6 linked regions of the Ovis aries genome follow. The protein of the gene in region 1 purifies or fractionates together with the protein of each later gene. This does not show direct contact. Links are inferred from orthologs where the notes say so. Each region holds a gene or a part of one and is shown in the gene's direction. Other genes may lie near its edges. The genes, in order: RAB7A, VDAC1, GDI2, VDAC2, ARL8B and PLEKHM1.

What was found.
Region 2: the proteins of RAB7A (region 1) and VDAC1 purify together in Homo sapiens (affinity purification with mass spectrometry; 3 studies listed by BioGRID and IntAct, with this or other methods). This does not show direct contact. The link is inferred for Ovis aries from reciprocal best matches to the Homo sapiens genes RAB7A and VDAC1.
Region 3: the proteins of RAB7A (region 1) and GDI2 purify together in Homo sapiens (affinity purification with mass spectrometry; 3 studies listed by BioGRID and IntAct, with this or other methods). This does not show direct contact. The link is inferred for Ovis aries from reciprocal best matches to the Homo sapiens genes RAB7A and GDI2.
Region 4: the proteins of RAB7A (region 1) and VDAC2 purify together in Homo sapiens (affinity purification with mass spectrometry; 3 studies listed by BioGRID and IntAct, with this or other methods). This does not show direct contact. The link is inferred for Ovis aries from reciprocal best matches to the Homo sapiens genes RAB7A and VDAC2.
Region 5: the proteins of RAB7A (region 1) and ARL8B purify together in Homo sapiens (affinity purification with mass spectrometry; 4 studies listed by BioGRID and IntAct, with this or other methods). This does not show direct contact. The link is inferred for Ovis aries from reciprocal best matches to the Homo sapiens genes RAB7A and ARL8B.
Region 6: the proteins of RAB7A (region 1) and PLEKHM1 purify together in Homo sapiens (affinity purification with western blotting; 5 studies listed by BioGRID and IntAct, with this or other methods). This does not show direct contact. The link is inferred for Ovis aries from reciprocal best matches to the Homo sapiens genes RAB7A and PLEKHM1.

The regions. Positions count from the first base shown.
Region 1 is NC_056072.1:59,079,766-59,083,265, reverse strand, and holds the end of RAB7A (ras-related protein Rab-7a), read left to right. Parts: intron 1-1,000; coding exon 1,001-1,129; intron 1,130-3,013; coding exon 3,014-3,109; downstream 3,110-3,500.
Region 2 is NC_056058.1:43,302,189-43,305,688, reverse strand, and holds part of VDAC1 (voltage-dependent anion-selective channel protein 1), read left to right. Parts: intron 1-229; coding exon 230-457; intron 458-2,972; exon of another isoform or gene 2,973-3,286; coding exon 3,287-3,437; exon of another isoform or gene 3,438-3,500. UniProt on the Homo sapiens protein: Non-selective voltage-gated ion channel that mediates the transport of anions and cations through the mitochondrion outer membrane and plasma membrane.
Region 3 is NC_056066.1:42,477,632-42,481,899, forward strand, and holds the start of GDI2 (rab GDP dissociation inhibitor beta), read left to right. Parts: upstream 1-1,468; coding exon 1,469-1,513; intron 1,514-4,268. UniProt on the Homo sapiens protein: GDP-dissociation inhibitor preventing the GDP to GTP exchange of most Rab proteins. By keeping these small GTPases in their inactive GDP-bound form regulates intracellular membrane trafficking.
Region 4 is NC_056078.1:30,199,748-30,202,117, forward strand, and holds the end of VDAC2 (voltage-dependent anion-selective channel protein 2), read left to right. Parts: intron 1-184; coding exon 185-242; intron 243-1,480; coding exon 1,481-1,572; 3' UTR 1,573-1,870; downstream 1,871-2,370. UniProt on the Homo sapiens protein: Non-selective voltage-gated ion channel that mediates the transport of anions and cations through the mitochondrion outer membrane and plasma membrane.
Region 5 is NC_056072.1:21,259,328-21,263,314, reverse strand, and holds the start of ARL8B (ADP-ribosylation factor-like protein 8B), read left to right. Parts: upstream 1-1,187; coding exon 1,188-1,310; intron 1,311-3,987. UniProt on the Homo sapiens protein: Small GTPase which cycles between active GTP-bound and inactive GDP-bound states.
Region 6 is NC_056064.1:44,832,698-44,836,197, reverse strand, and holds part of PLEKHM1 (pleckstrin homology domain-containing family M member 1), read left to right. Parts: intron 1-2,484; coding exon 2,485-3,405; intron 3,406-3,500. UniProt on the Homo sapiens protein: Acts as a multivalent adapter protein that regulates Rab7-dependent and HOPS complex-dependent fusion events in the endolysosomal system and couples autophagic and the endocytic trafficking pathways.

The DNA.
Region 1 (3,500 bases):
CTGGGCCGCCTGTTCTGAGGTACCCTGTGCACACGGAGGGTCTGTGCTGAGCACCTCGTGGCTCTGGGGGTGCACAGGGGCGCCATCTTCAGGCCGGCTGCCCCTGGGGACTGGGGCCCAGGAGGCCCTCTGAGACCCCCACACCACCCGCACAGCCGTGACTCGGGCTTGTGGGCGCCTCTGCTTCTGACCCTGGGGGAGGGTTCGGTTGCCATCAGCTGTCGTCCTCCCGCAGCGGGGCCCCCCCAGATCCCGCGGGGCGGGAGGTGCTTTGGGCTTTTGAGTAAAACTGCTCTGGCTTCCTTTCCAGTAGCATCTCTGGGGAGTGTAGACAGAGATGTCGGTGTAGACAGAGATGTCGTCAAGCATAGCCGAGTTTTCCTGGTGGCTCAGACGGTAAAGCGTCTGCTTACAATGCGGGAGACCCGGGTTCAATCCCTGGGTCGGGAAGGTCCTCTGGAGAAGGAAATGGCAGCCCACTCCAGTACTCTTGCCTGGAAAATCCCATGGACGGAGGAGCCTGGTAGGCTACAGCCTATGGGATTGCAGAGTCAGACACAACTGACCAGACTTCATTCACTCACTCATAGCTGAGTTTATTTTTGACCAGTCAGCTCTTTCCTAAGTGAATTGGTTCTTCTCTTGTTCCTGAAAACAGGCTCGGGTGGGGAGTCAGGAAACAGGATGTGGCTGGGTTGGGGGCTCTGGGGCCTGGGTGTGTGATCAGGCCAGGGGTCCAGGCAGGTGTGCTGAGCGGTCACAGGAGGGGCTGGAGACCTGTCCTGGGCCGGAGGGGAGGCACTTCCTCCCGAGCTGGCTGCCGCCGCCCTTCACAAGCTGCCTCCAGGTGCAGCTCGGGGTCGGAGGCTGAGAGGGGAAAGCCCCACTGTACTGAGCTTAGCTGGCGAGGGGCTGGTGGGCGGTGGCCGGCGGGGGTCCTGGGGGTTCTTCCGCTGGGATGCCTGCTCTTCCTGGCACCTGCACCCTGCCTCCCCTTCAGGTGGCCACCAAGCGGGCTCAGGCCTGGTGCTACAGCAAAAACAACATCCCCTACTTTGAGACCAGCGCCAAGGAGGCCATCAACGTGGAGCAGGCCTTCCAGACGATCGCCCGGAACGCGCTCAAGCAGGTGGGTGTCCGGGGACGGAGCCCTGGCCTGGCCGCCTTGGCCCGCACCTTCTCTCCCCACGGGCTTCCTGTGCAGCCAGAGGTGGTGGCGGGCCTTTGAGAGCGGCCCCGTCCCGCCGTCTGTAAGTCAGCTCCATGGGGGCACACATCGAGGCCACCTCGTGTGGGGCCGCCCTGCTCGGCGTGCTCCTCCTGTTTCAAGATACACTTGAGTTTGAGGCACAGCTCTGCTGCCCGTCTTGGGATCTAGTCTGGTTTTTAAATCCTGTCTGAGCTGTACAATGAGATTGCCCGCTTTCAGGGCGTTTGTGAAGATTCAGTGAGGTGCACCAACTTTGGGAATTATCCTAAACAATCCTCATAAAGGTTAACCCAAAAGGTTCTAGGAGTCATCTTCCTTAGGTAAGGTTCTCCTGCGTTTTCTTTGTGGTGTTTATTCAGATGGTCCCCCTCCCCACCACATACCAGCGGCATCCTGTTGGCCGGTGCCGGGTGAGGGCTCCTCTGACCCCACAGCAGCAGGGCAGTGCTTTCCTCCCTAAACACTCCTGCCCCTAGAGCTCGAGTCGCAGGAGGAAGACTGTCCGACTGGTAAGGGGGCCCCTGGCTGTCCCTGGGGACAGTGGTGACCCTCAGTCCCGGCACCGCGGTGGCGTCGCTGGCGCAGCGCCCATGCTCTGCAGAGGGGCCCCTGCAGCCCTTGCCCGGGCCTCGGCCGTGCGCAGAGGTGGGGCTGAGCTGTGTGTGGTGGGCCTTCTTCTCAGCCTCTCTGGCCACAGTGAAGAACCTGCCGGTGGGTGTGTATTCCGTCTGTGGAGCCCGCTCCCCCGTGTCGCGCTCTCCTTGCGCCGGGCCCCGCCTGCAGCCCACGTGCTCCCTGCACGGCCGTCCTGACCTCACGGCCTCTCCCCTCGCTAGTCGAGGCTTTTCTCTTGGCTCTGTTTGGTTCATTATCCATTTGAACTAAGACTTTCACTCCAGGTGCAACTTTTTCCTCCTCCGTCCTCTCCCCACCACCTACCCCCACAAAAAATAAACCTTCCTGAGGTTCTAACTGTGTCAGCCAGCACCGGGCCCTGGACAGTGCCCACAGGCCGCGTGGCTCAAGGACACACTTATTTCCTGTCGGTTTCGGGGCCACAGGTCCGATCTCGCTGAGGCCTCCATTAAGACAGAACGCAGATGAGCGCTGGTCAGGGCTTGGAGCAATAGGCGGGACAGGCCGCTGCTGCTGGAGCCGGCTCGCCTCCGGGGCCGGGAAGGGCCTGATGGCTTGGGCCTGTGAGCAGACCAGGCTGCAGGGGCACACGCTCAGCCCTCAGGGAGCGAGACCGCCTTAAACTACAGGCAGTCCTGGGCGTGGCCGCTTGCACAGCACTTGTGACCGGAGTGGTTTCCCCAGAGGGCCTCGACCCGCGGGTGCTCCGCGTCTAAGGCACAGGTGAATTCTCTTCCCTAGGAAGCAGGGAGCTGCCCCTCGCTGGAAACGCTAATTCAGCCCAAGTCCCCGTGAAGTGACCCCAGGCCCTGTCCTGTGGGCCCCACACTGAGGGAGTTGTCCTGGGCGGGCCTGGCATGTGCAGCCTTGGGGGCAAGCTCTCCTGAAGGCCTGGAAGAGACAACAGACCTGGGTCCAGAGAGGGGCGCGCAGGGCGAGCTCGCGGGGTCTGTGAGGCTGGGGCCCCAGACCCTGTCCTTGTCAGGCACTGGCAGAAGCTCCCAGAGCGGGCACGTGCAGGTGGAGGGCGCCAGCCTGTCCCTCTTGCCCCTGCCCCGCAGCGTCCCTCGGTGCCCGCCTGGCCCCTCCGCTGTGGGGCCCGCCCCCCTACACCGCAGGACTTGCAGCCACCCCGGGCCCGCGGTCACCGCCTCTCTCCCTGCCCAGGAAACGGAAGTGGAGCTGTACAACGAGTTCCCCGAGCCCATCAAACTGGACAAGAACGACCGCCCCAAGGCCTCGGCCGAGAGCTGCAGCTGCTGAAGAGGCAGAGAGCAGAGCACACAGCCCTCCGCGACCGAGAACACAGGTGCAGGCCTTCCTCCACGAGCCCCTCCTCCCACAGACAGTCATCTCTCGCCCAGCTGCCCGGAGAGCCCAGCACACCGCCGACCCCCGCACACGCCCCACAGACCCACCGCCCGCCCCGCGGGCTCCGCGGCAGCAGCAAGGCCGGAGGCGCACACCCGCCTGGGTGGAGTCTGCGCTGGAAGCTTCTTCCTTTCATCCACTGGAGAGAGAACTGTTTACAGTTAATCTGTGTCTAATTAGTTCTGATTTTTTTAACCGTCTTGTGGTCTTTTTACCCACCCCCTCCTGTGAAGGCCACCACGTGGGAAGGCTGGTGCCCTGCGCTCCATCACAGGCTCACACC
Region 2 (3,500 bases), on another chromosome or scaffold:
GTTTCTTTTACAAGCCTGTGTTCTCACTTCATTAAGGTGGCATTTCTGCATTATTTTGGATTTTGGTTGAAGAGAGGTTGCAACAGCTGCTTAAGGAGATCTGGGGCCCTGACTTTGCCTTCCTACTCCCCTATTCAAATAGGGATTAGTGTTTTAAAATGTGTATTTCTGGAGTGGTTGTCATGAAATGAGTTAACTTCTGATTTTAATATGATTTCTTTTCCTCCAGGAAAAAAAATGCTAAAATCAAGACAGGGTACAAGCGGGAACATATCAACCTGGGCTGCGATGTGGATTTTGACATAGCCGGTCCTTCCATCCGGGGTGCTCTGGTGCTGGGTTATGAAGGCTGGCTGGCTGGCTACCAGATGAATTTTGAGACTGCAAAATCTCGAGTGACTCAGAGCAACTTTGCAGTTGGCTACAAGACCGATGAGTTCCAGCTTCACACTAACGTGTAAGTGTTCATGATTTTTTTCTAAGCTCAATTTTTAATCACTGTGAAATGAGTTTGTTGGAATCAGAAGAGCCAAATGGCCTGCTAGTGTTTTTCTTTTTTCTCACCCATTTCCTGAGGTGATGTAGGTTCTTCCTATTCTGTGGACAGTAACATGTTGTCCCTGGTGCACATAGAAAGACTGATCAGTTGTGGCAAGAGCATGATGTCAGTCCGCAGGAGCATCCCTTCCCTGCAGCCTTACGGACATTGGCGGTCCTTTCATTGTAGTTAATAGGGTGGGGGTGGGGAGTTGTAGCCCTCTCTCTTTCTCTGTATACTGCCTGAGAACCAGCTTGCTGTACTGAATGGAATGTTGGCATGGCAGACAAATTAGGAGATGATTGTCTCAGTTAAATACTGTCTTCTCTGCATGGCAGTCCATTTAAAAGTTTATTAACTGGACAGTATTGTGAAGGGAAGAGAAAATTACAGGGTAGGTTAGAGAGGACCCTTTGTAATCAAACTTGAGGGTTGAAGTAGAGTACTGATTTAGATTGAAGGGAAACAAAAATTTCATCCGTGATATCTCTGCAGATACAAGAAACTAATGAGTGGTATAAATTGGGAACAACTTTACCAGATTTCTTTCTTTCCACTAGAGGTCACTAAAGAAGTGACTTAAAATTTACAGACAAGTAAATGGTATGTGTGTCTAAACTAGTAACATTTCTATTAATAAAAAATGAGTATTTTTTATAATAAATTAACAAAGATGTATATTAGCATAAAAATTAATAAAATGTGAGTCTTTTAAAACTAAAACATCAAAGGAAAACTATAGAGATGGACAGCCCAGTGGTTGAGAGAGGGGAACAGGGAAGGTGTTATACAAAGGGGTGCACAGGGGAGTTTGATTGTGGGACTGTTCTATATTCTGGCCATACAGGTTTGTCTATAAAAACTCACAGAAGTGTATACTCAAAAAAGGTTAAAAAAAAGTAAATTTTAAAAAGATAACATGCAGAAAAGTCATAGGAATAATATCACAAGCATACAACTATTTTTTAATTGAGAATTTTGGCTGATTCAGAAAGTGCTTCCTTGGTTTGGAATTGGGAATTGTACAGTTCTAGGAAGAACAAGAAGGCAATGGCATTCCAGTACTCTTGCCTGGAAAATCCCATGGATGGAGGAGCCTGGTAGGCTGCAGTCCATGGGGCCGCTAAGAGTCGGACACGACTGAGCGACTTCACGTTCACTTTTCACTTTTATGCATTGGAGAAGGAGATGGCAACCCCATCCAGTATTCTTGCCTGGAGAATCCCAGGGATAGGGGAGCCTGGTGGGCTGCCGTCTCTGGGGTCGCACAGAGTCGGACACGACTGAAGTGACTTAGCAGCAGCAGCAGCAGAAAGAGCAATGACTGTTAGTTATTTTTCTTATCTGAGCCTCAAGGCTTTCAGTAAGTGGACATGGTTCATTTTTGGAACTGGCATGGAAACAGCTGACACAGCTAGTTTGGGTTGCCGTGGTCTTGCAGAGGCCCAGATGTGTAACAGATATTCTGTGTGCTTCATACAGATGAATTCTGTACAGCGAGTTCCCTCTGTCTATGGTTTTAAGAGTGCAGTACAGGAAGGAAGTGTTGCTGGTTTTAGAACGCATTGAGAAATCTAACATTTAAACACATTTAAGCCCAAGAAAATTTGCCTCTTTGAGTTATACCAGTCAATCCAGAATCTATTGTGTTTGACAAGCTGCTGTTTTATAGCATACTGACTTTCTGAAGAAGTTAGATTCCCTATGGATCAGGTGGTGTCTGGGCTCTTCCTATACTTTTTGGAATCACAGTGTCTGACTGGCTAAATTTCAGGGGAGAACTTAAGAACTTAGAATGTGTTCTGTGAGCATCTACTTTAGGAGAGTGTATTAGTGAAGAGCAGAGTTTGTAATGAAACAGCAACAATTTTTTTCTTGGGTTAGTGAGTTCTAGGCTCTTTGCTGGATTCCAAAGTATATAGGCTCTGCCTTAACAGTTTCCAGTGTCATTTCCACTGGAGACACTCAAAATGATGGAGCAGAACTTTGACATTGTTTTTTTATATTAAAAATGTCAGGGAGGGGAAGAGGGTATTCCCAGAGGCTGCGAAGAGAGGAAACAGTTTGGTCTGCTGGGTTTCATTCCATTTTTGAAAGACAGAAACATTTTATAATATGGCAGGTTGCTCCTTTTCAGGGCTCACCGAGACTGTAGGTGTTGCAGCATGGCTTAACAGTATGCATGGGCCAGCGAGCCTCAATTATAGGTTAAGTTCTTTTGTAATTGCTGCTCCTCCTACTGGCCGTGCACCCTCAGCAGTGGGTGCAGCAGCTGATGCTAAGCACTGGCTATAGGCTGCCTTCTGAGGAGTATGAATGGCCTGGACTTTCTTACCATTTCTGGCTTTGTTCTTGATGTCTATGTTTATAATACAGCATTTCATAAATATAATAACTTTAGCAGCTGAAGGAAGAAAGCACTCAGAATTCACAATCCCATTGCCCTAGTCTCCATTTTTATTTTAAAGAATATTTTGGAAGCAAACTTCAAGTCCCATGCAGCCTGAGTAGTTGACTGAGTTGCCTTGCATGTTCCCAGTGATGCCTGAGATAGCTTTTACCTTCTGTGAACCCTCCCAGCCCTGGTGTCTGTGCCATTCCTGTCAGGCTGCTTGTAATTTGGTGCCTGTTTTGTGATCAGTTCAGTCCATTTACAACATTCCCATCCTCTGTTAAGACTTGGTTGGCTTTGCCCAGCTCAGCCCCCCTTGCTAAGCTGCTTGGTATCTGTGCTGTGCTTATTTGCAGAAATGATGGAACAGAGTTTGGTGGCTCCATTTATCAGAAGGTGAACAAGAAGTTGGAGACTGCTGTTAATCTGGCCTGGACCGCAGGAAACAGCAACACTCGCTTCGGAATAGCAGCCAAGTACCAGATTGACCCTGACGCCTGCTTCTCGGTGGGTACCTGTGGGATCATGCATCGCTGAGATCCCACCTGATCCCTTGGGCTGATGGAGTTC
Region 3 (4,268 bases), on another chromosome or scaffold:
TCAAGATTCACTTTAGACAGCTCTTATTTGAGAATAAATCTTCAAGGAAACACCAACTCTTTTGTCTGCATGAAAGTCAAAGTGAAGTCGCTCAGTCGTGTCCGACTCTTTGCGACCCCACGGACTGCAGCCTGTCAGGCTCTTCCCTTCTCCAGGGGACCTTCCCGACCCAGGAATCGAACCCGAGTCTCCCTCATTGCAGGCAGACGCTTTACCGTGGGAGCCATCAGGGAAGCCCTTTGTCTGCATACTCAGGCTGAAAACACTGGATCTGCTCTCTTCGGTTGAGAACATAAGCCACCAGGGCTGGAGATGCCAAATAGAAACCAGAAGAAATGTGTGTTTGCAGGGCTGGGCCGGCTCGGATATGAAAGGCAAAAAACAGGGAATCTTTTTTTTTCCCTACACTCTGTGGCCTAAATCCATTCACGTGCTGGTCAGCTATCTTTACAGCTGGTTTAGATTATAGCTCTCAGTAGGCGCAGACCTGCTTCCGATCAAATCTGCCCTTCCCCTTTATGCTAAAGTTCCCTTTTCAAAAGTAGAGTTTTTTTTTTTTTTTTTTTAAATTCTTATTTCCTAAGGCTGCACATGGGGCAATGCATCAAGCAAGAATAACATTGGGAGGGAAGTTAAGAAAAAAAAAAAAGTGATTTCTGAACTCCTTAAAATTCATTAGGTCCTTTTTCCTTCAGGAAATGGAGGTAGGATAAAAAGAAAAGCAAGACAAGTTGCAGAGGACCAGCTAGGCGCGCAGAGGGCCGAGCCGCAGCCGGAGTCGGGCCGCATGGCGTCAGCTCCTGGTGTGCCGGGCTGCGGGAGGCCGCCCGCGGTCCTGGGGGCTGGGGAGGCCAGCCCCAGCCACGTGGTCGCCGCGGGCCCAAAGTCCAAGGGCAGCTGCGGGCGCGGGGCCCAGAGTGCGCCCCGCCGCCCGATGGGGAGCGGGAGTGAAGAACCGGACAGGGGTCCCCCGGCCACAAGCTCAACCCCGCCCCCGCCCTCGAAGGCCCGCGCGCTACTGCCCCCTCCGCCCCCAATCAAGGCGACCGCGCTTTGGGAACGGATCCGAAATCCACCAGGGGCTCGGCCCGCCCTTTTCTCGCGAGACGTGGGAGAGGAAGCGGGTCGTGGGCGACGGAGACGTAGCCAATGAGCGAGCGGGAAGGGCGTGATCGACGGCTTCCTCCCGGCCTCGCCCCGGCTGCGGAGGCCGCGGTCGCAGCCCGCCTCTCTCTCCCTCGCCTCCTTCCCTACCCTCCCCGCCCCGTTCTTCTCTTCCCGTCTGAGGTGGCGGTCGGCTCCCCGCTCGCCAGCTCCGTGTAGTCTCTGCCTCCGCTTCCCTTTTCCCTCAGGCCCCGTCCGGCCTGAGCGCTCGCTCCCTGGTCAGCCTTCTTCTCGGGGCAGCCGCAGCCCCAGACCCCTAGAGTTCTGAGCCTTCTCTGGGTCTCTGTCCGCGCCCGGCCCCGCCATGAATGAAGAGTACGACGTGATCGTGCTGGGCACTGGCCTGACGGTGAGGAGGGGCGGCGGCCCGGGGCCGGGAGGGGGCCGGCCGCACGCCCTGCTCAGCCCCATCTTCCCCGCCCCCCGCTCCGCGATGCCGGGGGTCTCTTCCCGGGGGGGGTCCCTCCGGGCGGGCCGTATCTGCAGCGGGGCCTGCGGGGAAGGGACACCGCGGTGTGCAAAAGCCTGGCCCGGACAGGTGCCTGGACGGGTTGGGGCGGCCGAGCAAGGGTCTCGGGAATGCAAGGCCGAGAAAGCCCGGGTTGCGGCGTCGCTGCGCCTCCCTTGCTGGTCGAGGGCCTCTCGCGCCTGGAGACGGAAAGGAGTGGGGGAGGGTGAAGCCTAGCCCAGTGGCGTTTCCTCCGCAGCTTCCAGGCCCCGCTGCTAGTCAGTTTCGGTGACCAGTCACAGGTAATCGCTGTTGGGTTGGTAATTCAGGCCAGTGAACTTACTTTTTTTTTTTTTTTTTTTGAGAAAACTGGTTTTCTTAGCCTCCTCCCCCACCCCAGGTGAGAAGCATTGTCCATTCCTGTGTAACCACCCTCCCAATCTCAGTTGAACGACCATGGGATTGGAAATGAGTTTTTCTCCAAATGGGTCTCACCTGGCCTTCGCCAGCCTTATGTATGATCTGTCCTTGCCCACCTCGACGCTGCTGAACCTTTTCCCCTGAGAAAAGGAATTGATGATGAGTTGGTTGGTTGCTAGAGGCCAGGTGTTCCTGTCACCGGGGTAAATGTATTTTCCTAGCTGTCTGCTCAGAGGACTTCAGGTAATATTCCGCAGATAACGCAGGCAGGAGTTGTACTTTTCTGTGGTTTTTAAAAGAAAATGAAGACAGCTCATCTTGCAAAATAATTCCATTTGAAGATAGGACCGTCTCCATTTATCAAGATTTTTGGAAATTTGGAATTCTGACATGGGGCTGGCTGCTTCGTTTTAGAAGATGAACCCTGATTTTGATCTTGTGTTCCATATGAACTGATCTCAAAATCCTGAGTCATTTGATGTAAATGTGTTGAAATGCATTGTAATCTCTCAAGATTTAAAAATTTTTTTCAGGTAGCATTCCAGAACTATTTTAGATTTCTCTGGACAAGAGAAAACTGTGAAACTTGCATTTGGCTAATATTCTTAGGAAAAAATTGTTGGAAACTTACAGTGATAGTTTGCTGGCATGTTATTTTCTGTTTGTGGTGATTTATGATGATTGTTGGGTAATAGGCATTTCTGAATGCTTTACTATGTTTGACCAGTCCAGAAAAAGACGGGACTGGCTGGGAAATTGTACAAAATAGATGAGAGTGATGGAATGTGAGATATTGGGTTAAATTTCTTTGGTGAGCTGTTGGATGCCTAAATGAGTAGGCCTACCCACTGCAGGGTTTTTTTTTCTCTTTCCATTTCCGAAGTGCTTAATTGGGATTCTGAGCTGAGCTTAGTAGTTTAGTTTGCCCGTTGGAATGGGCACTGTTGCTACCAGCCTTTTGTTAGAGCCAGTTAGTTCCACTGTGTTTCTACCGTTATTGCTGGTCTTTCAGATTTGCTCTTGATTAGGTCAGTTAAACATGGACAAATGAGTGCAAATCCTTCCTTACACAGGTTTGTTCCCCCCCCCCCCTTTCCTTTTTTCTTCCCTCATGCTGGTTTCTACATGCCTAGCTCAGAAGGATCACTTTGTATCAAAGCGGGCAGTCTTAACTGTATAACAACCAAGTTGCACCTTATTTACATTTTCATTTGGATTAATTGTGACCTTTTTGGTGAATGGTAGGTGCATACTTAGAAATCAGAGCAATTTCTGCTGTCGTTTGTATAGCTGTGATAACTGTTTCCTGTGAACCTTCCTAGAGTGGTGTTATGAGATATTCTTTAAATTATATCAATTCAGAGCAATCATATTACTGTTGTATTACAGTTGTTGGTAGTAGTGATGATGGGATGATTTTAATAATGATAAATCTTTTACCCTCATTTTTATTGATAGGAGAACTTCGATTACTTGAGACCACCAACGTTAAAAACGCTCAATTTATAATTTGAGTATTTGGTGTGAACATACCATTTACTTAATTTTTGACTTAGAAATATTTAGTGCCTGAGATTTAAGAACCTGAAAACAGGCATATGTTATCACGTATGGATACCAAATGTTATGTGATTCTTGTGTGTCAATTACTTTAAGTGCAATTAACTTGTTATTTTTAAAATGTAAGGAAGTTTTGGGATTTCTCTGTGTTTTCTAATGTGGCCATTGTTTTTTATGGATTATTATGTCTAAAATAGTCATATTAGTGCACCAATATTAATAGTAACTTTAAAGGAGGATTAAAATAGTTTGCTGTAAACTAGAGCAAAATATTCATTCTGTCTATAAGAAGTGCAGTGTTCTATATAGTTGAATATTTTAAGGAACTGATGGCTTTCCCTTTAAAGACCCATAACTTTATTTTCTTGAGGTATAGTAAGTGAGGAATGTATTTGTAAATGTTCTGAATCATAGAAGTGCCTTTTCAGAACCAGAGTCCGTAAAACATAGTTGGGAAGTACCACTTTCCCCAGGCAGCCGAAGCAGTTTAAAGACAGCACTGTTGAAAAGTTGAATTGATCTGGGGATTAAAGATTAATTAAAAGAACCATAATTTTTAGAAAAAAGCTTTCAAATGATACCACAGCTTCCTTAACAGACTAAGGAATGTAGTGAACACCTGATAACAAGATTTCACAAAGGGAGGGTTAATTACTGAGTACTGCTGTAACACAGT
Region 4 (2,370 bases), on another chromosome or scaffold:
TGGCAAACCGCTTCAGTATTCTTGCCTTGAACAGTATGAAAAGGTTTTTGCTTAACTTAATACAATATTAAATTTTACTACCTCACATGGAAAAGTGAGCATGTCATGATTGCATGATAGAGAAATGGGCCTTGTCTCTCCATTCAAAGATTTGTCTTACATGTGTTTTTGCATTTTATCTTAGGCAAAAGTCAACAACTCTAGTTTAATTGGAGTGGGCTATACTCAGACTCTGAGGCCTGGTAAGTTTTAAGGGTTGTTCTGATAGTATTTTCAAAATCAGTTTTCATTTCTCAACTTATTTTGTAAACCTTTCAAAACAGAAGAATTGACAAAAGTACAATGAACACATGTTTACCTTTTGCTACAATTTTATTTTTATTTTTTTTAATGCTGGGCTATTTGGAAGTTGTAGCTATGATGACATTTCCCTAAATGGTTTAGTATGCAAACATTGTCCTTCATAGGCACAAGACTGGTTATTTACTTTTTTCACTTGTGCCTGAAATGTCTTGTAGTAATTTTTATTTCTCCAGTCATTGTTCACTCATTGCTTTGGTTGTTTGATCTCTAGAGTCTCATTTACTTTACGTAATAATTTGAGCCTTGCTTGTTTTCCAGAGCAGTACTTCTCTAATACAAGGGTGCCTGAATCACTTTGGGAATCTTATTAGAGTACATAGATCTGGGGTATGGCGTTCTGTCTTTCTGACAAGCTCTTAGGTGATGCCAGTGTCACTGGCTCTTGAACCAGCATTTGAATAGCAAGGTTCAGAAGCACTTGGAACCTTTTCCCCATACTTCGACTATTCTGAAACCTGAAGAAAAGAATGGTGCCTTGAACACTCAATCTTCCCTACAGTGGCCAGTTACTAACATTTACCGTGTTTGTTTTCTCCCTCCTTGTCTGTATACATAATCCTTTTCTCTTTTTTTTACCCACATATTCTTACAAATTAAATGTATATTTTGCAAACATACAGACACATCAGCCCTAGCATACATATGAGAGTAAAACATTTTTAACTGCATCACTTTAAAGGCATCATAACTACAGTACTGTTTTCACAGCTAAAGAAATGAACAGTTTAAAATAATACCTAATACATGGTCGATATGCAGATGTCCCTACTTGTCCCAAAATGTGTCTTGCTTGTAGCTTTTCCTTTCCTGGGGTCCACATTGTCTTTTAGTCTGGATAGTGCACTGAACATGATTGTATTTTCTAGAGCTATTTTGAGTTTGTTTTTTTTTTCCTGTTTGAGCTTCATTAACATTTTTATGCTCTGTGACTTGATGCTTTCCTTGCTCAGGATCGTGCCAAATGAATTGCCTGGTCTCTCAGGTACTCCCAAGTGCCCTCTGGTGGCTGGCACTATAGGTCATCTGGCAAGCTGAGAAAAAGTGACAGGCTGTGAGGTGACTGCTGGGTCCCATGAGGTCTTGCAGGTACATGATGGTTGTCTGCTTTTGTTTATAGGTGTGAAGCTTACACTGTCTGCCCTGGTAGATGGGAAGAGCATTAATGCTGGAGGCCACAAACTTGGGCTTGCCCTGGAATTGGAGGCTTAATTCAGCTGAAAGAAACCTCTGGAAATGGGTATCAGAAGATTTGGCCTTAATATATTTCCAGTGTGACCAGCAGGCTTCCCCCCGCACCCCCTGAAGGTGATCAAAACAAAGGATGATCTAAACAAGAGCTGTATTTTAAATATTTAGACAGTTACTTGTTAGCTGGTTTCTAGTTGAATTGGTTGTCTATCTAGTTACCAATACTGCAGTCATGCAGTCACCTATACATTATTTAAATGTATTTAACTGTTAAATGCGCTCCCCACCAATAATGAAATAGACATTTATGAAAACCGTGCAGCTGTGTGCATGTTTGTTTTATGCTCCTTTTAATGTTGAATATTGCCGTTGAATGAGCTGGATCAGTGGATGTCTTAAGGTTAAGATTTTTTGTTAAATTCAACCATCATTAGAATTACTTTTGGTATCCTGAAACATTACAAATTATGAATAAAATGAGTATACGTTATTAGTGACTCCAAGTATTTGCAGAGTTAAAAACTTGGCAGCTAGGGTCAAATATTCCTGGTAGGATATCTAGCTAGGACTTTATTTTTCCAGTGAGCATTTATTTTGCTCTTTTTATAAATATGTGCCACAGAGTCCTCTGACCCGAGAATAACTCCATAAAATGTTTAGACTACAGTAAAATAAGAAGATACATGACTTCATATCTTCAGTTTATAAATTTGTATAAAATTACATTGGATCATCATTAACTCCAGGAAAGATAAGTCAGTAAGTGAAGAAGAAGAGAAATGAAGGGATGGTGCTGAAGGTTGTATATACACACCATAC
Region 5 (3,987 bases), about 38 Mb from region 1:
CCATCCATCTCTCCTCCCACTCCCTGTCTTATTAATCTGAGGTGACAGCGCTGAATTCTGTTCCTAGAGCATTCTGAACACCTTTCCGCTTCAGAGTCTGCTGTTCTTTCTGTCTGGAACGCGCTTCCTCCGGACGAGTGCCTGGCCCTCCTTCTCATGGCCTCTAGGTCATCACAGCCAGGGCTGCCTCCTCCGAGAGGTCTAGTCTGACTAGAACAGGCGCCACTCCCTGTTCTTCTCCCTCTGTGGAAGGTAAGCTCCTCAGAGGGAGGGTTTTCTAAAATCGGAAAACCGTACCTTTTAATTAAATTAAACTTTTCAACGGGCGACTCACTTGGATGATTTAAGTGAAAATGATATAAAAAGATATTCAGTGAAGTCTCATTCCCATTTCTGCCTTTGACCGTCCAGTTTACCTCATCCCAATAGAAAACTGTTTTTATTAGTCTTCCAGTATTTCTTTCTGCAACCATAATATGTGTTTTATATATGTACATATGTATTCTTGTTTTCCCATATTATACCGAAAATATCATATAATGCATAGTTGGTGCCTTAGTTTATGTACCTTGAAAATACTTCCTGGACATCATTACATATCAGTTTACAGAAAACTTTCTCATCTTTTGAAAAACAGTATTCAGTTTTGGGAATCTGCTAAAGTTTAATCACTCCCCTACTGATAAGCCCGTGTGGCTTCCATCTTTTGTTACGTAGGACAGGGATTTTCATGATGAAACCCCCAGAGTTTTGAAGTCTTTCTGCACTGAGCTGACAGTCAGTAAACAATTGTAGAGAAAATGAATGATGAATGGATCAACAGGAATGAGCCAAGGACTATAGTAGGAAAGGAGCCCAAGGGCGGCACGCCGGTGCACGGTGCTGCACGGAGGCTCCACCAGGTGGCGCTGCAGGCGGCGGGCGCGCCTGGCCGGACAGGCCTTGCCGCTCTTGCCGTGGGCGCCGGCGGCGGCGCGGGGACGAGCGTGGGGGGTAGGGCGAGTCATATGACCCGCTCGGCTTCCTGGCTCCGGCCGCCGTCGCCCGCCTGTGTCCGCCTGTGTCGCGCCGGGGCCCCGAGGAGCCGTTGGGGGGGTCCGGGCCGAGGCCCGCTCGTGTGGAGGTCGTCGCCGCCGCCGCTGCCCGCTCGCTCGCCCGTCCGTCCGTCCTCCCTCCCGGCCGCCATCATGCTGGCGCTCATCTCCCGCCTGCTGGACTGGTTCCGCTCGCTCTTCTGGAAGGAGGAGATGGAGCTGACGCTCGTGGGGCTGCAGTACTCGGGCAAGACCACCTTCGTCAATGTCATCGCGGTGAGTGCCCTCCCGATTACCCTCCCGGGGCGCCGCAGCCCGCGAGTCCGGCCCGGCTTCTGCTCGAAGGCCAGGCTGGTGGTGGCGGGGTTGGGGGGGGGGTCCCCTCGGCGCGGCGGGGCTCTTGGGAGTGTGCGTGTCGAGGGAGGGGGCAGCCGTGCTCTTCGCCTACCCGGGCGTCAGGACCTGGAGTTTCCCTCGTGTTGGTGGCTGGTGTATCGGCGCGGTCGGTAGTTGAAGGGTTATTTCCATTTAGTCGTCTTCTTCCAAGCGCCGTGTCCCCGTGTCCTCGTCGCAGCCGGGGTTTGGAAAGGGTGTAATTGGCCTTGTCACATTTTTAAGGCTCTTGGTGGTGGTGGTGGTGGTCTGGGATTTCCTTCGGGTTTGATCTTTGCTGGCCGCGCAGGGGTTAACTTTAGCTTGTCAGTTTCCCGAGGGGTGGAATTTGGCGAGTCCGTGTGTCCCGTGAGAAAGCCTAAAATAATTGAGATTGTCTCAACTGGCCACTCGGGATGGAGAGCACCGTTGTGAGGAAAGCAGGGGCCAGTGTGGGCTCATCCCTCAATTCTGTGGGCAGCTTGTCCCGTGTAATCCAGTTAATCGGTTTTCTCACCCGTTCCCCGAGGGGCCGAATAGACGGTGCTGCGATCGCCGGTAAAGCTAAAGACAGGCATTTCCTGCCAGTCCATAATAGTGCACGGCTTTTATTTTTTAAATTAATTTGTTTATTTGAAGTATAGTTGATTTACAAGTGCACAGCTTTTACTAAGCCAAGAAGTTGGGTGGGTGGGGTCTCTATTTCTAGAGCCCTCGTCTAGGGGATAAGATTTGCAGTCAGCATAAAGTTGGAAAAGAGGTGTTGGTCTAATGTAATGGTTTTTCTTACAGACAGAGAAAGGAAGGGACTGGGTAGAAACGTAGCTCATTCCACGCCCAAGGAATGAGTTTCTGGGAGGGAAAGAAATTGCCCTGGGAACCTATATAGAGTGTGGTGTTTATTCATCGGTGATTGAGGGAAGGAGGATAATTAAATTTTGCTCGTTTGGTTGGCAGGGGAGGGAATAAGAGTGAACGATTCTCGTCAGTCTTCATTTAGAGCCCAGGAGTTGCTGTGACTCAGTCTTGAGCTTGTCAGGGATGAACTTTTGAGCTATTTGAGAGAGATGGCAGCAGTTTCTCCACCGTTTAGATGATGGGTGAAATCCTATTTTATTGGCGACTCGCTGTCCAACTGGTTTGGTTACTGGAATGATTCAAACACGCCTGTCTTGTTGGAGAACACAACTTGTGTAACTTGTGACTGTTAGTCCTTGCAGTGATAGAGCAACAGGAAGGAGAAGTAGAGATGAGCAGACATCCAAACTTCCTTTGAGGAATATTGCATATAAGCATAAGGAAAACTTGCCTGCTTGTTTGGCTCTTGTAATGTTATTGGGCCGGAGGCTTGAGATGACTTTTCAACAGGCCTAAAAGAGTGGAATGGATATCTAATACCACTAAAATTAGTAAGAAAAAACTTCAGGCTTTGGCGGAGTATTCATATTTGAACTCCTTGTATGATGTGGAAAAGATAAGCTGAGATCATTTAATTGTAAATTTTCTGATACTGTTTTGGGATAAGAATTGGTGTCTCTTCCTAAATCCTCTCTTTTTGAGAAGACTTAATTATAGTGTTTTGTAGGTTTATTACTACAATCAGTTGTATTTGTTACAGAGAAGTAGTTATGGTTGGGAAACCTAAAAAGATTTTAGTAAATCTTGAGGAACTCCTGGAACCATAAGCTCGATTTTCATGCTTGTGTGTTTAGTAGACAGTTTAGCTTGACATAATGAACATGAACTTTGAAGTCAAACAGCCCTGGATTTGCAATCTGGCTCTGCCACTTAGCAGCCTTGTATCCTCTTTCAGTCCTTGCTTTCCCATCTATTAAGAGGAGTTAATAATAGGTTTCTTACAGAGTTGCTGCGAGTGCATGAAATGACAGATGTTAAGTGATTAGCATCATGCCTGCCCATAGAAGGGGCTAGATAAATGGTAAGTGTTGTATTATTTGTAGTGGGTACAGTCATTTAATGCAGAAATGGTATTTTGAAAAATATTTAGAAGGGAATTAGTTGGGGTCATTCCTTTGCATTTGTGTAGGTATTCAAATATGGACTGCTGTAGTGGATTCATAGATCATGACAAGTAATCACAGCATGTCCTCCCTCTCCCCCCATCTGTTAACATCTGGAAAGCTGTTGAACTCAAAGTGAACTATTATTTTAACGTTAGACTCCTATTTTTGTTTCGTTCTGGGCAAGCTGTGCAGCTTGGAGGATCTTAGTTCCCTGACCAGGGATTGAACCCTGACCCTTGGCAGTGAGAGCTCTGCATCCTAACCACTGGACTGCCTGGGAATTACCTAGACTCTTCTTTCTGAATGATACAATGTGGGTTGCAGATGCAGTCTTAGTCACTCAGTCGTGTCTGACTCTCTGCGATCCCATGGGCTGTAGCCTGCCAGGTTCCTCTTTCCATGGAATTCTCCAGGCAAGAATACTGGAGTGGTAGCCATTCCCTTCTCCAGGGGATCTTCCCAACCCAGGGATCAAACCCTGGTCTCCCACACTGCGGACTGATTCTTTACCATCTGAGCCACCAGGAAAAGACCATAACGTGACTGGGTTCTGTTAG
Region 6 (3,500 bases), on another chromosome or scaffold:
CAACTGCTCCTCCCTAAGGCCCTTCTCTCAGATGGTTTATTTAGCAGCTCTGGTGGGGTTTATCAGATGTGCAGTTTGTTCAGTGTTCTCTGTGTGCAGTTCACAAGGAGGCCAGCTTGACCTCCACACCCTACGAAATTCCATAAAGCATTAAATAACCACAACCTAATTTTTATGTCTGGCACAGCCCTGGTTTCCATGCCACGTCCTCTTAGGTTTTTCTTTCAGCCCATGTAATGGTTACAACCATACCAGAGAAGGTGTGCTTTATGCCTGCGTCATCAGGTACCCGGGAGGATAGGAAGGCCCTACACAGTGGTTTGAAATCTCTAAGGCTGGTCCAAGCTGGGAGAGAGAATTGTGTGTCCTTTGGACCCCCTTTTTTCAGGAAGAAGGCTAGCCCCTTCCCCCCCCCCCCCCCCGAGGAAGATCAGGGAGCCTTGGGCTGTGTGTAGTACACACACTCCCTACTCAACAGATTTATTGGGCACCTGCGATGTGCCAGGTACTATTCTAGGTGCTGGGGACACAACAGGAAACCAAGCCAGGTCCTTATCTTCATGGGAGTTGTATTCTAGCGTGAGAGACAGGAAATAAGCAGATGAACAAGTCAACATATAGTCGGGGCGGGTGATCATTCCTGTGGGGAATAGTAAACGGGAGGTGGGCAGGGTACCATTAAGGACAGCCAGGGACTCCCCTCATGGTCCAATGGTTAGGAGTCCACACTTTCACTGCTGGGGCCCACGTTCAGTCCCTGTGTGGGGAATGAAGATCCTGCAAGCTGCACGGCACGGCCAGAAAGTAAATAAATGAGTAAAGGCTGGCCAAGGAAGCCCTCACAAATTAGGTGACATGTGAGGTGGCTTGAAAGGTGGGGAGAGAGGCATGAGGCGATCGTATTTTAAGCAGGGAGAACGTGTGCGAAGGCCCTGCAACAGAAACATGCTTGATGTGTCCAGTAAGCAGCAGAGACCAGAGTAGCTGGAACAGAGGAGATGGGAAGGGGGTGGCTAGAGGTGAGGTCAGAGTGATGCGGGGCCTCATGGGCCACAGGAAGGACGTTGGCTTTTGCTCTGAGAGAGACGCGATCTGATTTGGGGGACTCTCCGGGGCAATCATCCTGGCTCATTTCTTGAGGCGCTTCAGGGGGACATAGACCAGTCAGGAGGCCACAGCCATAAGCCTGGCCAGGAATGATGGTGAACCAATCCCCTGTGGTAGTGTTGGAGGAGGTGAGAAGTGGAGGAAGGCTCTAGATATACCAAGAGGATTTGCTGATAGATTAGATGTGGGGTGTGAAAGGGAAAAAAAAAAATCAAGGATAGCTCCAAAGTTTTTAGCCCAAGCATCTGGGAGGATGAAGTTTGCCATTTTACTAGATGAAGAACATCAGGAGGAAAGTGGGTTTGGAGTGGGAGAATCAGGAACACAGTTTTGGACGTGTCAACTTTGAGAAGCCTATTAGACATACACGGAGCAGATGGAGATCGGAATCTAAAGCTCAAGGGTGAGGTCCAGGCTGGAGATAAAAACTGAGAAGTTGTTGGCATAAAGCTCCAAGACCAGGGAAGATCAGCTAGGAAAAGTGGGTATTAGTAGAGAAGAGAACCAGGGCCGAGCCCAGGGCCTCCATGAAGAGGCCAGTGAGAGGAGAGAGCATCAGGGAGACAGGAGAGGGGGGCCAGTGACAGCAGAGAAGACCCCAGGAAAGGGGGGCTCTGCTGTGTACAGTGATGCTGATGGGCCAGGCCAGATGGGGACCAACGACTAGGCTTTGGACTTGGCAACAGGAGGGCCTGGTAGCCTTCCCAAGGGCAGGTTCTGTGGACTCGGGACAGAAGGCTGCTCGGAGGAGGTTCAAGAAAGAACAGAAGGAGTGGGTCCCAGAGACATTCCCACACCTCCTCAGGGGGGTTTCTGTAAAGGGGACAGAGACCCAGGGTGGTAATTAGAGATGTGAGTAGAGTCGAGAGATATTTTTAATGCTGGGAGAAATAACAGCGTGTTTGTGGGCTGGTGGGAATGATCCAAGAGAGAGGGAGAAGACAGTGACGCAGGAGGGGCAGAAAAGATTGCTGGAGAGACGTCCTTGTCCTTGATCAGGCGGGGTGGTGGAGGGGGGGACCCCTGCGCAATTGCACAGATGGGAGGGTGGCCTCAGACAGAAGCACAGTCAGTTCATCCCCAGCGACGGGGCTCAGAGTGTGGCTGCAGATGCTGGAAGGGGAGGGTGTAGTGAAGCGCTCATGGAGGTGATTGTTGACGTGCTTTTATTTTCTCAGTGAAATTCAAGAGCACAGTTATCAGCTGGGGCAAGGGTGGGAGGGAGGCTCTCAAAATACGTTCCCATCCAGCCGGCGGTGGCCTGTGTTCTCCAGGTGGTCACGGAGTCCACACCCAGGACAGGACTCAGGCCCCGGAGATTATCCAGGGTGACGAAGGGCCAGGCCTATCATCTAAAGTGCCTCTTTCTGCCTGCAGGGCTGTCCAACCCATTCCGGGGGCTCCTGAAGCTGGGCACGGTGGAGCGGCGGGGGGCCATGGGCATCTGGAAGGAACTCTTCTGCGAGCTCTCCCCGCTGGAGTTGCGCCTCTACCTGAGTGGCAAGGAGCGCACCTGCGTGGACACCTGCTCACTGCTGCGCTGCGAGTCTGTGGGGCCGGCCCACAGTGACGGCCGCTTCGAGCTGCTCTTCTCCGGCAAGAAGCTGACCCTGCGCGCCTCGTCCCGGGATGAAGCCGAGGACTGGCTGGACCGGGTGCGCGAGGCGCTGCAGAAGTGCCGGCCCCTGCAGGAGGAGGAGTGGGTGACCATCCAGTACCCGGAGCAGCCCGAAGACCCTCCAGAGGCCTCCCAGGGTGGCTGTGCCGCCCCCTCGGACCTGCACACAGAGGCTGAAACCCCCCAGGGGCTGCAGTTCAACTGGTCCTTCTCCCAGGTGCCTGAGCCTGACGCCATCAAAGAGTCCCTTCTCTATCTGTACACGGACCGCACATGGATGCCCTACATCTTTTCCCTGTCCTTGGAGTCCCTCAAGTGCTTCCGCGTGAGGAACAACGAGAAGATGTTAAGTGACAGCCATGGAGTCGAGACCATCCGAGATATCCTGCCGGACACGAGTCTCGGGGGCCCAGCCTTCTTCAAAATCATTACGGCCAAGGCCATCCTGAAGCTGCAAGCCGGGAATGCCGAGGAGGCTGCCCTGTGGAGGGACGTGCTACGCAAGGTCCTGGCGTCCTACCTGGAGACGGCCGAGGAGGCAGTGACCCTGGGCGGCAGTCTGGATGAAAGCTGTCAGGAGGTGCTGAAGTTCGCCACGCGGGAGAACGGCTTCCTGCTGCAGTACCTGGTGGCCATCCCCACAGAGAAAGGCCTCGACTCCCAGGGCTGCTTCTGTGCAGGTGCTGACTCCCTGTCCCCCACCTCCAGCCTGCCCGCACTGGGGTTCCTGCTCTAGGCTCTGCACTCCTTCCTGCTCCCCGCAGGCGCCCCCATA